Linked DNA regions of Solanum lycopersicum. The main gene of each other region encodes a partner of the protein of the gene in region 2 in a complex. Links are inferred from orthologs where the notes say so. Each region holds a gene or a part of one and is shown on either strand. Other genes may lie near its edges.

What was found.
Region 1: exosome complex component RRP4 homolog (region 2) and exosome complex component RRP41 homolog share a complex: the UniProt entries of both Arabidopsis thaliana proteins name them as parts of the RNA exosome complex. The link is inferred for Solanum lycopersicum from reciprocal best matches to the Arabidopsis thaliana genes RRP4 and RRP41.

Annotation. Positions count from the first base shown.
Region 1 is NC_090800.1:82,539,292-82,547,370, reverse strand, and holds the start of exosome complex component RRP41 homolog, read left to right. Parts: upstream 1-2,732; 5' UTR 2,733-2,917; coding exon 2,918-2,971; intron 2,972-3,066; coding exon 3,067-3,113; intron 3,114-3,308; coding exon 3,309-3,369; intron 3,370-5,674; coding exon 5,675-5,713; intron 5,714-5,800; coding exon 5,801-5,868; intron 5,869-6,796; coding exon 6,797-6,875; intron 6,876-6,960; coding exon 6,961-6,997; intron 6,998-7,160; coding exon 7,161-7,277; intron 7,278-7,389; coding exon 7,390-7,475; intron 7,476-7,549; coding exon 7,550-7,639; intron 7,640-7,733; coding exon 7,734-7,787; 3' UTR 7,788-7,816; intron 7,817-8,079. UniProt on the Arabidopsis thaliana protein: Non-catalytic component of the RNA exosome complex which has 3'->5' exoribonuclease activity and participates in a multitude of cellular RNA processing, maturation and degradation events.
Region 2 is NC_090808.1:63,092,329-63,100,150, reverse strand, and holds exosome complex component RRP4 homolog, read right to left. Parts: upstream 5,151-7,822; 5' UTR 4,884-5,150; coding exon 4,732-4,883; intron 4,596-4,731; coding exon 4,494-4,595; intron 4,417-4,493; coding exon 4,371-4,416; intron 3,620-4,370; coding exon 3,530-3,619; intron 2,502-3,529; coding exon 2,436-2,501; intron 2,241-2,435; coding exon 2,172-2,240; intron 933-2,171; coding exon 480-932; 3' UTR 231-479; downstream 1-230. UniProt on the Arabidopsis thaliana protein: Non-catalytic component of the RNA exosome complex which has 3'->5' exoribonuclease activity and participates in a multitude of cellular RNA processing, maturation and degradation events.

The DNA.
Region 1 (8,079 bases), on a different chromosome or scaffold from region 2:
AAGAAATCACTGATGGGCTGCTTAGGCAGCGATTTCATTTTTAAAAAAAAATCAGATTTTTGCAAAATCGCTACCTCTGCAGCGATTTTGCTTTTTCCGGTGGGGTAAGTCGCTGTTGGTGCAGCGATTTTACCGTTTTGGTTGATATAAAATTTTATATATCGTTTTGAAATTTTTATTAATATTTTGTACCCTTTAGGCTCCGAACTCTCTCGAATTGATTTTGCCATTCCCAATAGTTGAACTTTTTTGACAACTTTGACCTTTAAAATTTTAACCATATTTTTTTTTTTAAATTACTCCCTGCGTTTCACAAAGAATGACCTAATTTGATTTGGTACAGAGTTTAATAGTATAAAAAATACTTTCGTATCGTGTGATTAAAGTTAATTTAAATGTATAAAATTGTCCTTTAATTATGTGGCCTTAAAAATACCGCATGAAAGCTAATTTTAAAATGTTAAAAAAAAAAAAAGAAATCATCAATTATAAACAGACTAAAAAAAAATTGTTATTTATTTTGAAACGGATGGAGTAATAATCATGGTGTGGACTAGTTTTGCACATCTCTCTTTTATTTTTGAAGAGAATGTTGGAATATAAAAGTAAAACTCAATCAAACAACTAAAAGGTAGCTGAATTGTTGAATGTTCACAAAAACAAAAAGAAACAAAATAAACCTAAAAAAACACCCAAGTACTACAAACATAGAACCAAAAGACAAATTAATGTTGATTGAGTTTAATTTTTTTATATTCACGCCTACCCCTAATAAAGTTTTCCCATATTTTAGCTACACATATATTTATCTTTTTTGAAAATGAAAAGTGGTAATGGTCAGAAAATTTAAAAAATTATAATATTATTTTTTTAAAAAATAACTTGATCTTTTTCTATATTCTAGTAAAAAGTATTAAAGTTAAAAAGGTAAAAATATTTTGAGATAAGTGTCAAAAACACACCTAAACTGTTCACCTTTTTAAAGTTTTTTTACCTAAGTTATTAGAAGTATGAGTTCCATACCTAAACTATCAGTTTTTAGTTTGAGAAACACACCTCAATGGTGTGTGTAATGCATTCTCTCTTTTATGTGAAAAAACTTTGACACATGGCATTCCACATAAATAAAATATTTTATCTAGATAAAAATTAAATAATAAAAAATTAATATTAGTTAAAAATAAAGATTAATATCCAAATAAAAAAATTAAATTATTTTTCTCATCTCACTCCACTATCTCCTCTACGTACCCCCTCCTCCGCGACAACCCCATCTTTTTTTTTAAAAAAAAGAATCATTTATAAAATATTTTTAAAAATTTCATATTTTAGTTTTCGCTCCGATTTTTTTTTTTAACGTTTTTTTCTTATTTTGTGTTAGATATGCACGTACATATTTTTTTTTTCCATAAAAAATCTACTAGTGTACCGAATATAACATAAACAACTAAAAAAATGTAAAAAGTCTTATGGCGGCAAGTAAACATATTTTCGATATACTTATCTAAACACTAGAGAAAAAAATTGAAAGCGTATGATTAAGTGGGATGGATAGAATTATACTTTTAAGAAAATAAAATAATATCTAAATTAGTATTTGACGAGGGGAGGAGATGAAGTAAAAAATGAAATACTTATATGAAAGAAATTCAAACAAAATAAAAAACTTTAAAAAATGGTGTGGGGTAAGAAAAATATTTTATATTTTATTTTATAAAGAAAATATTATTTCTTATAATTGTTTTTAATTTTTAATTTAACTAATACTAATAATTTATTTATTTTTTGTCAAGGTTGAATGTTTTGTCCATGTGGAGTGTGATATGGAAATTCTTTAAAATAAACGAGAGTGTTTATATTACATACCATGATGAGAGTGATATAAAAGAGAGATGTGTTTCTCAAACTAAAAAATGATAGTTTAGGTTTGAAATTCAAATTTTCAATAGTTAAGGTATGAAACTCAAAAAAAAAGTATGGTTTAGGTGTGTTTTGACACTTATCTCAAATATATTTATAAAAAGTAAAATTACACAGAAAAAATTGCTAGTAGTGTTAAAAAAAATAGGAAAAATTGTATCTAATGCAAATTAATAAATCAAATTGAATGCTGTAACCACACTTTAATTTAATTGTACCCTGTAGCAAATTGTTTGTCAGTTACCTTTCTCCCTCAAACTCTTACTCGCCACTCTCCTTCTCTCGCTCACTCCCTCTCACTTTTATACAAACACGAGTGTATAAAATGTATTTCTGTTTGTATAAAGCGAGAAAAAAATTGTATATATACATACATTTTCGTTCCCCTCTCTCCCCTCTTCCAGACCTCGCTCGCCACTCTTCAGATCTCACTCGCCACCCTCGCCTCTATCGCTTGTAAAAACAGAAACGAAATGTATAGATTGTGTTTCTTTTTGTGTAAAGTGAGAGAAAATTGTATATACACTTGCAAATACATATATCTTCGTCCCATACACTTATAATTATACAATACTAAAATTTCATTGCCCAATTTTATTTTATCTTTCTCTCTTTCTCGTTTTATACATACACAAATTATACAATTAATTTGTATACAACTGCTTTCTTTTATATATGTATAACGAATTATACAATTGATTTATTTATATATATATATATATATAACGAATAATATATATTTTTATTTGCTATACAACGTAATTATACAATTTTGGTATAACATAAAAATATAAATTTGATGCTTACTACGTGTGTGAAAGTTGCTCTTCAAATTATGCAAAATTTGAGACAAACTTTTATAATTTTTTTTGCTGGGAAGATACAAATATAAAAATAAAATCCCAAAATACCAAATGCCAAAACCCTGATTTGCTCTAAAACCTCAGGAAATTGGCACACTCCAACTATTCCAGCCTCCTTCTCCGGCCGAACAAAAATGGAGTACGTTAATCCTGAAGGTCTCCGTTTAGATGGTCGCCGTCCAATGGAGGTTTCTTGCTCTCTCATCACTAAATTTCTACCTTTTTAATCGTTATCTTCATTCTCTTATTACTTTGATTCGTCTGTGCCCGTGTTTACTTTCAGATGAGACAACTTCGTGCTGAAATAGGGGTTGTATCGAGAGCAGATGGGTAACTACTTAGACTTCTATCTAATTGCATTATTAAGTTATTCTATACGTCAATTTGTGACTAATTTATCTTTTTTGAGTTTAATTAATTGGTCTGGTGCTAAATATGGGTTAGTTCTGTAGTTAGGTTATGTTTTTGATAGGCTGCTATTTTATTGTACCTGCAACTGAGTTTGTTTACTCTGATTATTTGCAGTTCTGCCTCGTTTGAAATGGGGAATACCAAAGTCATTGCAGCAGTTTATGGTCCTCGGGAGGTAAATTCACGTAATACTCAGTCTGTTGATTTTGACTCTTTTTGGATTATGAATCAAATTATTTGTTATTTGTTGGTATTATTGTCTAGGTGAAGTAATGGTTTTTGAACTGAAAATAAAAGGAGGGAAGTTGTTTGTCTAGAAATAACAGCTTGTGTGATATTGTGTTCCATGATGGAGGGAATGTGGCTTGGTAAAACAAGATTTTTTTATGGGTTGCCTGCTAACTTTTGAAGTGTGGGGTGGTGGAAGCACGGCATATTCGATAGTTTAGTTTTTGCACTAAGTTATCTGAGAAACCTGATCAATTGGTTCTTCATTGATAGGCATGAATATGGCAAGGCAATGTGGGTCTGGCGTGGAGAAGGTTCTGAATATTTAGTATGAAATTAATTAACTTAATCCCTAGCATTAGTCAATAAATGAGAAAATAATAAGTTAATGAAATAAAATTATTGTAAAGTATAAGGTAAAAACCTATAAAGGTTAAGAGAGACAAATACTAGAAGGAAATCAACAGGAAGCCTGATGAAAGGAAAAAGGGTGCTGGAACCATAAAAAAGCACATAGGAATCGGAAAAGAATGATAGAACCATTAAAAGCATTAACGAAGCCATATTTGATATTCCTTGCTTCATGTAATTCATAATATACAAAATCCTCTACCAGCCCTGCCTTGTGAAGTTGCCTCCTAAAAATTTGATTGGATATCCTGTTGTCTTCCTCATTAAGGTTTTCCTTTTGATGCAGTAAAGTAATTAATTGATCAGCATCTGAGATCCCTATCAGCACAAAAGTGAAAAATTTGGTTAGCTTTGGTACATTTTTTTTGATAAAGTAAATAGTTTTATTAATAATAGGAAAACCTCCAGTGTACAAGCAATAACAACATACCTAGTGAAGCCACAAGTGGGGTCGGGTAGGATGTACGCAGACTTTACCTTTGTTGGGGCAGAGAGGCGGTTTCCCTTAGTCCCTCTACTCTAAGGAAGTATAATCAAAGCAGGATTGAATTTTATTAAATTTAATTGGTTAACACTTGTGTAATAAGGAGTTTCTTGAGATTGATTCAGGCAAAGTATTTTTGTTTGAGTTAATGCTCGCTGATGAAGGTTTTTAGCCTAGCAGGAAAAAAAATGGAAATAGGATACTGCTATTGTAGAAGACCTGTGTAAATTCGGACTTTGTCCGTTTTGAAAGCTTTGTCAATTTGCGAAGTACAACTGCGAATTTGTGCTTGCCTTCAGACATCTTCTCCATAATTTAGTTGGTTTGTTGTTTTTCGTGTCAGTTGGTCCTGCAGTAATTAATTTATTGTAGGAATAGTAAAAAAAAAGCAGATACATAACTAGGTTGTACCCTTCCAGTGTGCCCCAGGTGGTTTGGGCTTGGGACTTCCATGTTGGATGTCTCAAGTTTGAAACCCCTTGCCAAGGAAAGCAAGGGGTTTGCCTTATGGGTCGAGCTCGTCGCACCAAGCTTGCCTAGTGCGGGTTACCTCTCTTGTGTGGTTTGCAAGCTATTATATAGGAGCGGGGGTCTTACCTATGTGCACCCTAAGGGTAGCGGCTGCGGATTTCTCTCGTCATTAAAAAAAATATTACTAGGTTGTAAACTTTATCACAGGGACTTAAGAGGATCTTGATTCACTAGGAGTTAAAAGTTTGAAATGCATACTAGTATGTCTAAATGCCAATAACTGTCTTCAACATAGGAAGTGTTGTATAAGAAGTGTTTATCAAGGATTAGAATAAGCAGGAGGAATTATGCAAAGGATGCAATTACCATTGCACCAAAATCAATTGTTGTATGTGCTAGCACGTCAAAGTTATAGTTCTCAACGGAACTTCTGTTGCTGCTTAAAATGGATGGTGTCTGCGGAAGTTTAGGTTGAATTTTAGGATGTTGAGTGTGTAGTATGGATGCATCATTGCAGCAAACTGCCTAGAACGGCATTAAGCTCAATTATAGAAGATGACATCCAGTCCAGTTTTTGCGGAAGAAAGCTCCTAAGATACCGGATGTTGCAATTATCCACGATCAAATTAGTGCCTGTTGTTCTTGGGTGCTCAGTGCATTGAACATCCATCCAACAAGGAAAATGAGGGAAAATTTACACTTGGTGCTTTATTTTTTTGAAGTAAGACTTGTATATCACACTGGTATGCAAATTGGATACCAGTAATGTACTTTTGCAAAAAGTATCTAATCACTACCTCTGTGATCAATGATAAAGATATCAGTCTTAATTTTGATATATATAAAGGTTCATTCAAATGTCTCAATTGTTAGTTTCATCATTCAGGTTAAGAACAGGAGCCAACAGATGAATGACCAGGCACTGGTAAACTACCTTTCATGATGAATTCTTATACTGCAAGATGTATAACCTTAAAAGTGAGATGATATGATTTTACTTGTCACTCTTTAGGTACGTTGCGAGTATAGCATGGCTAATTTCAGCACTGGCGATCGCCGGAGAAAAACAAAGGGTGACAGGTGATTCCATGTTACCTTGTCAGTCTCTTTTTTCCCTTTTATTTTATGTGTTTTCAGTTTTCACCCATGCAATTATATCATCTTGCTCTGCTGACAGTTCCATTATAATTAAAATGAACTCTGCACGTGTGCTTGAAATTCAATGGACAATATTCTACAGAACTGGTGCTGGTAGAAGAAAAGTTGTCCCAACTCTGAACTGTAGCTATTTAGGGTTCAAAAGATGGAAGGCATACAGAGCACTAACGGTTGTTGGATGGACAAGCAAACATATTCTATAGGTGTTGAGCTTTTGTGGGTAGTTCGTTAGGGTGTAAGGTATAGTGACTTGTGGATTTGGCGCACGTCATGGGCTCAAACTCTGCCTCTGATACAAGCCTGGTATTTATGTGCGAAGGGTGGAGGGCTGGCTTTCCACTGAATTTTAAACCTTGAGCCATTTTTCCTTGCTGATTTCTTGGTTATTTAAAAAAGAAAATATTCTATAACCTAATGGAAGACTTTGGAGCTCTTTAAGCACTTGTCCAGCCAAGAAAGATGCTACTAGGATACTAGGATAGTAACTATAGTCTGTAGTAGAAAAGGAATTAGAATCTTAGGAATACTTGTAGTGCCCAAAAATATTATTTAATGGTAAGGCTGCATAAGACGGTTGAACAAATGTTCCACAGACAATGCAAAAATTATCTTGAAATGAAGCTAGGTAGTAAACACAGTTCAAGAATCACTAATCTTAATATGCCAACTCTTAATTTATCGTCTATAATTACCTACAATTAACCAAGAAAATTATTCAATCTATGATATTCTTTTAAGGAGAAATTATTCAATCTATGACACCGACAATTAACTAAGAAAAGTTATTCAATTTGTGTTACTTCTGGTTACACGATGTCTATTCGATGATACCTATGTTTTCAATTCTTAGGAGATCCACGGAGATATCTCTTGTTATTCGCCAGACAATGGAAGCTTGCATATTGACACACCTGATGCCTCGCTCTCAGGTTCGTAGTCCGCTTAATCTCTTTAACTTGAATAAGTTATGTAGTCTGACCTCCATTTATAGTTCCTTGATATTTTGCTTTTCAGATAGACATTTATGTCCAAGTCCTCCAAGCAGATGGAGGTAATCAGCACGGTGTTTAGTGTTCTATTCTTCTGTTCTTCAGAATCAATCAGAAATTCGGAATAGATATTAGCTGTCTGGCACTGCATGCAGCCCATATTTTGTAGTTCTATTATATTTTCCCTCTAGAAGTGCATTCTAACTAAGTTAGCACATTATTTAGGTACAAGATCAGCATGCATAAATGCTGCCACACTGGCACTTGCTGACGCCGGGATTCCCATGCGTGATCTTGTTACATCATGCAGTGCTGGATATCTGAATAGCACACCTCTTCTTGGTAAATTAATTCCGAAAAATTTAGTTGATTTTCCGGTTCTTTATTTTAACAATATCATTCTTTTCCAGTATTAATATGTGAATGATCTAGTTGACGTTACTTGTTAAAACAGATTTAAACTACTTGGAAGACAGTGCTGGAGGCGCTGATGTCACTGTAGGAATTTTACCTAAGTTGGACAAAGTGACCCTTCTGCAGGTTTGTTGACTCCTATTACGAATGAAATAAGGCTTTTGGCCTGGTGGATTGATGAATAACCTTCTGTGCTGCAGATGGATGCTAAACTACCAATGGATATTTTTGAAAATGTCATGCAATTAGCAGTTGAAGGCTGCAAAGCAGTAGAAAGCCACATCCGAGAAGTAAGACTGACAACTCATTGCCTTCTTACCTACTTCATATAATTATTTCTGTAAAATTTTCTACTCTTAGCATCTCCTGTTGCTCTTTTTGCAGATATTGTTAGAAAATGCTCAGACATTGGTCATTCGCCAAGGGTATGGCTCTTAACAGGCCGAGGAATTTTTATTGAGTCTTTGGTAAGATGATGCCCTTCCTGATTATCTAATGCTGGTGAACATTTTTGGTCAAGATTGCTAATGTTTTCTCAAGGAAAATGAGAAGCAAAGAAAATTTGTGAGAGTCTTGCTTGTTTCTTCCAGATTATTCCTGTAGCATTCTTTATCTCCTTTTCCAGCGGGTGGGGGTTAAGGGTGGTTTTAGGAATCAAAAAATATGTTCAGTCAAGTACCATGATACTTTTTTGTGGTGACAAATAATTGAAGTTCGGTGAGGGAAAATA
Region 2 (7,822 bases):
TAGGGCAAATCCTTCAGGTTTGGTCAACTTGTTCGTTTTGCTTTAAATTACAGTGGCCAATTTGAATTTTTTTGATTCAAAATGCTTACCAAATTACTGAGATCCATCCAAAAATTGAGAAAAAAATGTACACGAGACTAGCCAAAAATAACACTTGGAATATTGCTTTCACTTTCCAAGCTAAAAAACATTAGACACTAACAAGTAAAAAGACCAGCAATACAGACAAGTGAAAACATAAGAAAAATTTTCATTGCTGGGAAGAAAAACTTTGATCTTCAGCTGCACACTCCTTACTAATGCACATAAATCAAAAGTGTGAATTTAAGGGGATATTCAGAAGGAAACTCTTTTACAGATCTTTTTCAATTAAAGGGTGACATAGCGCTACCCGATTCAGCTTAATAGATTCCTAATCTCTTCTATCTTTTGCATAATCGACAATCCAAGAAAGGCAAATGTAGATGATGAGTTGTAAACTATCTCCTCCTTTTTGATGTGCTCCGTCGTTCAGCTTCTTGCTCAGCAACTCGAACATGGAATTCTGCTTCAAGCATCTCATGTACACCAAGGTTTAAAGATAAGCTCAAGGTAACTGTCTCCATTATGGAGTCCAAATTAACCATGAAGCCTAAAGCTGAGAATACAGTGATGGCATTTGCTATCCTGCATATATATTGTCTTATTTCCAGTGGTGTATCAGTTGGTTCTTCACTAGAACCTGGTAAGCTTGATGAATGGGTGTTCTGTGGATCGGACTTATTTACTTGATCCTCCACCATTACATCTTTTACATCAATGTGTTCCCCAACCCAAATTAATCCATTGCAGCCAAAAATCAAGTCAACTCCATACTGATCTAGATGGTGGAAATGCTGTTTACGCCTTTTCACTAGATATGGAGGGATTTTGAGTAGTTTCCCTCTTTCAAGCTATTAAAAAGGAAAAATAGAATTGTTCAGAAGAACTCAACCACTAGAAACACCAAATCATCAGAGCATATGTTCTCAAACAAATTGATAATTAATGTCTGAAATCTGAAATATATTCAAGGGGACAAACAAAAATTGCAAAGCTTAGGTAAAAATGCACATTTCATTCCACTGACCACCCCAAGAAAAAGAGACGTAACATGACGAGAAGCAACTGAAAAGTATAGCTCTATGTGATGGTGATATCAGCAGCATATAAAAGGCCTTCTTGCCAGTATTTAAAGCAAAATAACAATCTAATGCAGATCATGTCAAGGTCCTTTGTATTCTCTATTCGAACTTTATGGTCAGATCATCTGCTTAAGTAAAACTTCTGCCGTTTGTACCATGAGGTTTTAACTAATATTGTCCTTTATATTCACAGACAGATTCATTTTAATCCATTGAAATATAGACATGGTTTAAAATATATGCGGCAGTGTTCAGGGAAGCGTGAAGCGGAAAAAAGCGATAACGCCCCGCTTCACGCTTTAAGCAATGAAGAGCTTGCTTTAAGCGATGAAGCGCTGACATACTCATTCTAGTCTGTGAAGCGTAGAAGGCTCGAATCGCTTTGCTTCATTGCTGCACTCACTTTCCTGAACACTGATATGCGGTCTACTGTGGGGTTTTGCCAAGAGCTTAAATTAATATTTGAAGATACTTATTATTTTGTAATTAATTATCATATTGTTAGGGTACTTAATAGATTTATTAAATGTGGCAAATTAATGCTTAAGATATCGGGATTTGGTTCGCCTAGATAGTGATATTGAGTGCTATTCACGTCTAGAGTGTATCCGGGACAAGACAGAGAACTCGTTAGACCGTGGAAAATTAAGATTAACTTCAAAAATTTCATCAGACATATCATCTTCCTGCTTCCTACAAGCAAGCAACTCCATCCCAGCTATTATGCAAAATTATTTTACGCTTTTTAAATGGGAAAAGTTTAATCCATGGTTTTAATTAACCATAAATCCATCTACCTAAAATCTCTTGTGAATGCTAGAAATGTATATCCCCCACCTTGTGGAGATTGAATTTGAATCCCAGTCCTACTCCCACACAAAGCTTTTATGGTCAAACAGGTAGGAGGAGGAAAAGGTGAGAAAATGAGGTGCTTATTTCCAACCTGATAATCAAAACAATAACTCTGAAACAAAATTTAGTGTTCTAATTTCAATTATGAAAACACACCTTTCCATACTTTTGGCTTCTAGCTTGGAGGTGTAGACTCCCATCATGTTGGAAACCACGGACTTCAGCCTGAAGATGGACAATTTCGCTTAGATTACCATACTTGCAGAAAATAAAATAAAATAAAAGGAGAATGACATGCACATATAATCAGTAAGGACAGACGAGACATAATTGCATTCATCATAATCCACAGATGGATGCCACACATAAAATGGTCCCTTCAAGAATTTGATAAATAGTCAAAGGAGCTGGGGAGCTTACACAGATGACATCATTCTCCACAAATATGCTTCGCATATTGAGTTCATCAACTGCTGTTCGCCGCCTCTGGAATCATAGAATAAGAGGAAGTAGTTAATTTTAGTTTGACTATGACCATGACTAAGTAAGACCTAAAAGAATGCAACATAATGACAGAAATTCAGGGAAACAAAAAGGAAAAGGAAGTGTATATTTGCTTCAGGGGACAAACTTCAAAAGTTGTATCTGCTCTACAGGTCGAGTCACAAGTCAAGATCGAACTTCTATAGGCATGTCACCCTTCTAACTCTTTAGTTTCAATACCTTGGGAACTTCAGATCTCTTTAAGCAAGCTTCAGGCAGTGGGCTCATTTATTGAACAATAATAGAAGTTATACTAGTTTGATAAATTCACTGTACTGTTATGATAAATTTAGAGAATGGAATTGGGGAGAAACTTGTTGCCCATGAAGGTCTAATTATTTAAATGTTGAGACAGCAGTGTTCTTTAAAATATGAGATTGTGCATAGAGTTAAAAGCTGGACAAAGTTCATCTTACTCTCCAAGGCAGAAGTGAATCCTTTACAACCACAGGTCCACAGCAAATGTGCCTCGATCCCAAACAAGTTGGGGTAGGCCATATGAATCCATGCTATCTTGGACTTATAGATCCATTGGGCTATTCGATTCATGTTACCAAAGGAAGTTAAAGAGATGACTTCTTCAAAGAGGAGCAAAGTTGGTTCCCTGCTGCTAAAGTGAAATAGACTAGGGTCTTAAGCCACAGAGGCGGAGGGGGTTGAAACTGAAGAATTTGGAAAAATGATATAAAACAGCCATAGGAAAATCTTTTCAGCTCTTTTTTCTCTAGGATTTCAATATGCAGTGTCACAAGTGGGTACATATGGTGACACAGAATAAAGGAGGTCCTGATTTCGGTGCTCAACTGATTCCTTACAAATGTTTCTTTACATGCAGACAAGATGCAATAAGGACTCCAAATTACACAATCTTGACTAGTGAATTATCCAGAAAATATAACCATCACATCATGGGACCAAAATCAATTCAGAGATTATGCTCAAATGGGCTTAGTGACATTGTAAACAATAACCTGAATGCCATCTGGAAGATTCATAGAAGAGAGCATTAGTACAGCGTCTTGGCTGAAATTAATTTCCAACCTCCATCTCTTTGGAGCAACCTTTACATCAAGAATATTAATAATCATTAGATATATATCTAACCGCAAGAAACATTAATATTTCTTGCCAAAGTAAATGGAGACAAGTAAAAAGGAGGACACATGTGTTCTTTTCCTTTATGTTCTCTTAGTGCCCTTTCTTTGAAATTCAGCACCAAAGGCATGCACAATTAGATTATCCATATATTAATGTGAAGGCTAATATATTTCTCTAACAAATGGTAGAGTGAAAAAACCCACGCTATTATGAATTTATGATCATACTAGGAAAACCTGAAGAGCAGCGGAAATAATTTAACTCTCTATCCTATCCCTTACAATTACCTGGGGATACATTAGGAGAGAGTTGCATTTTGCTAAGTGAACTTTGAACAAGATGCTCCCGGGGTTAGGCATGGTAAGGGGAAAATGGTAGATTGAAAATAAGTTGATTCCAAGCCTTGAACTCATGACCTACCAGTCACTAAAGAGAGCAACTTTACCATTGCAACAGGTTTCGACTTTCGTATCAATTGAGGTTTCTAACTACTACAGTACTACCCAAAAATACCGATTCAATCAACTAGAAACAAATTGTCCATACACTAGCATTAAACTTCTAATTATAAGCACTTAAACATAAAAGGAGCAAAGATTACTCAATTTTCAATATTTTTGGAAGAAACCGATGTAAGAGCTAGCAGCAAATGAAACACCTAAACATGAAAGAAGCAAACTTGACAAGAAACTCATTGCAGGGAATCAGACTCACCTCAATAACGCGGCCGACTATAATATCACCAATCTCCGGCTTATACCTACATTAAAAAGAACCCTTTTTTCACCTTAAAATCAAGCTTAAAATCAACAAAAATTCAAACTTTAAACACTAAACCTGGCCCTTAAAGGTCTAACATAAACAAGCTTATTCACCCGCTCAACCACTCCACATACACTTGCAACAACATCATTGCCCATCTCCAACGTCCCATGTCCTCTTCATTCAACAAACAAAAATGGGTCAGATACCAAAAATCGGAAAAATGAAATCAACACCTATTTTCTTAATTTGAACAAAAAGGGGTTGTAGAGTAGATACAAATGATTCATATAGAAGAACCCCAACTACTTACTTGAGGGCAGCATCTTCGTCGACTGGAATTTTGTCTGCAACAATGACAGTGGCATTGGAATTAAGCTTCGAAGAAAAGGATTCCAATTGCGCTAATGCTTTTTCTAATCTTAGCTTTTGGGTGTTGCTGAAAGATAACTGTATTCCTCTCATTTTTTTCTGATTTTGTGAACAAAAGGAAGAAGAAGAAGAACTAGTGCAGAAGAAACCCTAAAACCTCTCTTAAACCCTGTTTGCCAAGCTTGTACAATGAAATTATCAAAAAGATTTTTTTAATCTTTTTTAGATTTTTATTTTAAAATTTTGGAGCAAAAGCACAAAATTTATATTTTCCAAGTTCTTTTTTCCCTCGAGAACAGAAGGATTTTATTTATTAATTAACAGTAAGGTTCATTCATATAAAGAGTAATTGATCTAAACGATATAATTTTAATAAAGTAATTATTATAAGAGAAGGAGATGTTTCATAAATAAAAGGTTAGTTATTGTTATATTTTTTTTAAATACTACATTAGCCTTTCTTGATATGTGATTCAATGATAATTCTATATGTAGAAGTAATAGTTTACTATTAGCATATTGAGGACTATTTATGGTTATGGTTTAACAATTAAATTAAATTGTAATTCAAATTAAATTGATAAAAAAAAGTTTGATATTTAATTTAGTTTGGTTAGATTTGATTTTTAAATTTTAAAAATTGATATTACTTGATTTGGTTTTAATTTTACAAAAATTGTAAAAATAACTAAACTGAACCGATAAATTAGATATATAAATTTTATAATTATTTTATATATTATCATACATTTATATAATAAAAAAAAAACTTTAGGTCCGCCTATTTGGCACCACCATAAATCAGATTTTTTTAAAATTATTTATTTTCAAAACAAGTCTTCCCTTTCATGAAAAGTTTTTACTTTAATGAAAATTTGTGATTTTTATGAAAATATGTGACTTTTAGGAAAAGTTGTAACTTTTTTGAAAAGTTGTGACTTTTATGAAGAGTTGCGACTTTTATGAAAAAGACATAATACATATATTGGACCCTAAATTTGACTTCAAATTTTAACTTTGACCTCCAACTTTCATAATGCACAAATTGACACTTTAACTATCCAACTTTTAAATAAATAAACATATGAGTCCTACATGACACAGTACACGTAAGACACCACATAGGATAAAAAATGACATGTAGGACATGTGTATCTATTTGTTCAACTTTATACAAGTTTAAGTGTCTAATTTGTGCACATTACCCTATGTTATCTATAAATAGAGGAATTTCTTGCCACTATAATTTATAGGTTTTCCCCCCTCAATATAGGACAATCAAATTCAAATACATGACTTGAGTTTTTATGAAGTTTGTTTCATTCTTGAAAGTTTTCATGGATCTTCACCTTTACTATAAGTCATAGTGATTCATCTAAGTATTGTAAAAAAATTTTCTAGTTTAGCGACCTTTTTAAAAATTTGTTTAAGTGTCAGCAAGGATGATTGAAAATTGATCTTCCCTTTTGTCCCTTTCTACAGGCTTCTTCATATAAACAAAGCAAATTGATTTCAATTGCAACGCGACATTACAACTCTTAGACCTCTGGATGCACAATTCATAACGTTGTTGAAATGGTTGATGGTTGAATTCATTCCGTTTGGTTCTTTGGTAAACAAATCTTTTATGTATGTCATTGTTATTTGTATGTTTATTTCGAATTAAAATACATTAATTATGCTTATTATAAAGTGTATTTCATTTCTCAAAGGTTTCTTTCTTCTATATCATGAAATTTAATTTTTTACTATAATTATAGTGATTTATGTATCTATTGCAACGTCTTTTTTGTTATTTTTGTGACTTATTTTTTTAATTATCTTCAAAATTCTAGTGAGGAAGACTGAAAATTTATATTCTCTTTTGTCCCTTTTTAGAGGATTTCTATATGTACTTTTGGAAAAATTGTTTGTGGGTTGTGCTATATTTGAGAGCACACAACAACAAATATCTTATAAGTAATACAAAATCAATGATGAAGTTTGTTAAAAGAATCAAAATGATTGTTCTCTTGCTTGCAACAGTTAGTATATTATTTTGATTGTTTTTTCTTAGATATAAACATTTTGTATGCCATTATACATTTTCTAGAATATTTGTATAGAGATAATTTGTCCAGATCTTTTATTGCACGTTAACTAATTTGTCATACTTCTTCTTCTCTTCTATTTTCAGCTTAATAAAAGATAAAGTTTTCGTGAAACTAACAAATGTCCAAAATACGCTATCACAAAAATATTTTCTATCGGCAATGAATATGTACCTTTACAAAGAGTGCTACAACCTTTAACGACATTGATAATTGTCATTGAATAGAATGTTGTTATAGATTTTAGGGACATTTATACAGAGTACCAATTGCCTCTGAAAATACATATTTAATGATAATTAATTTATTTGTTATCATTAAAGATCATTTTCTTAAAGTGATAACTCATTCTTTTGATTAATTTTTTATTTTTTGATAAAGAAGTAATATCTCTTACAGGCTTCTTTCAATTAAATTTGTGAACTGTAAATTTGGACACAACCCGAAAAACTATCTTTTTAAAAAATATATGAAGCACAAGCCTTTTCTTCTTGATTGTTAGGAAATTAAGATCGTATTTATTATTATTATTTGGATATTTTTTTGTTCAAGTTCTCAAAATATTATGTTGTGAGATTTTAATATGTTATATGTCAAAATTTTGGTTTAGTATATCCCGTTGTGAACATTCAGATGCCACCTACTGCTTGGTTGATAATTACATTAATTTTTTGTAACAGCATACTATAACTATAACAACAACTATGTTCTAATCCAAATAAGTTGGGGCTGGTGTTATGAAACCTTAAAAATAGTAATGACTATTTTGAGACAATGACGAAAAAATATTTATGATAATAACAATTTTAGGGTCATTTTTAGCATATACTTGATATGACATACATTAATAAAAAAGAGGTTGATTGACGTTCATAGAAAAAAGTCCAAGATCGTCTATTTGAATTTAGTTAATTATGATCTTGTATGAACGTGACGTTCTAA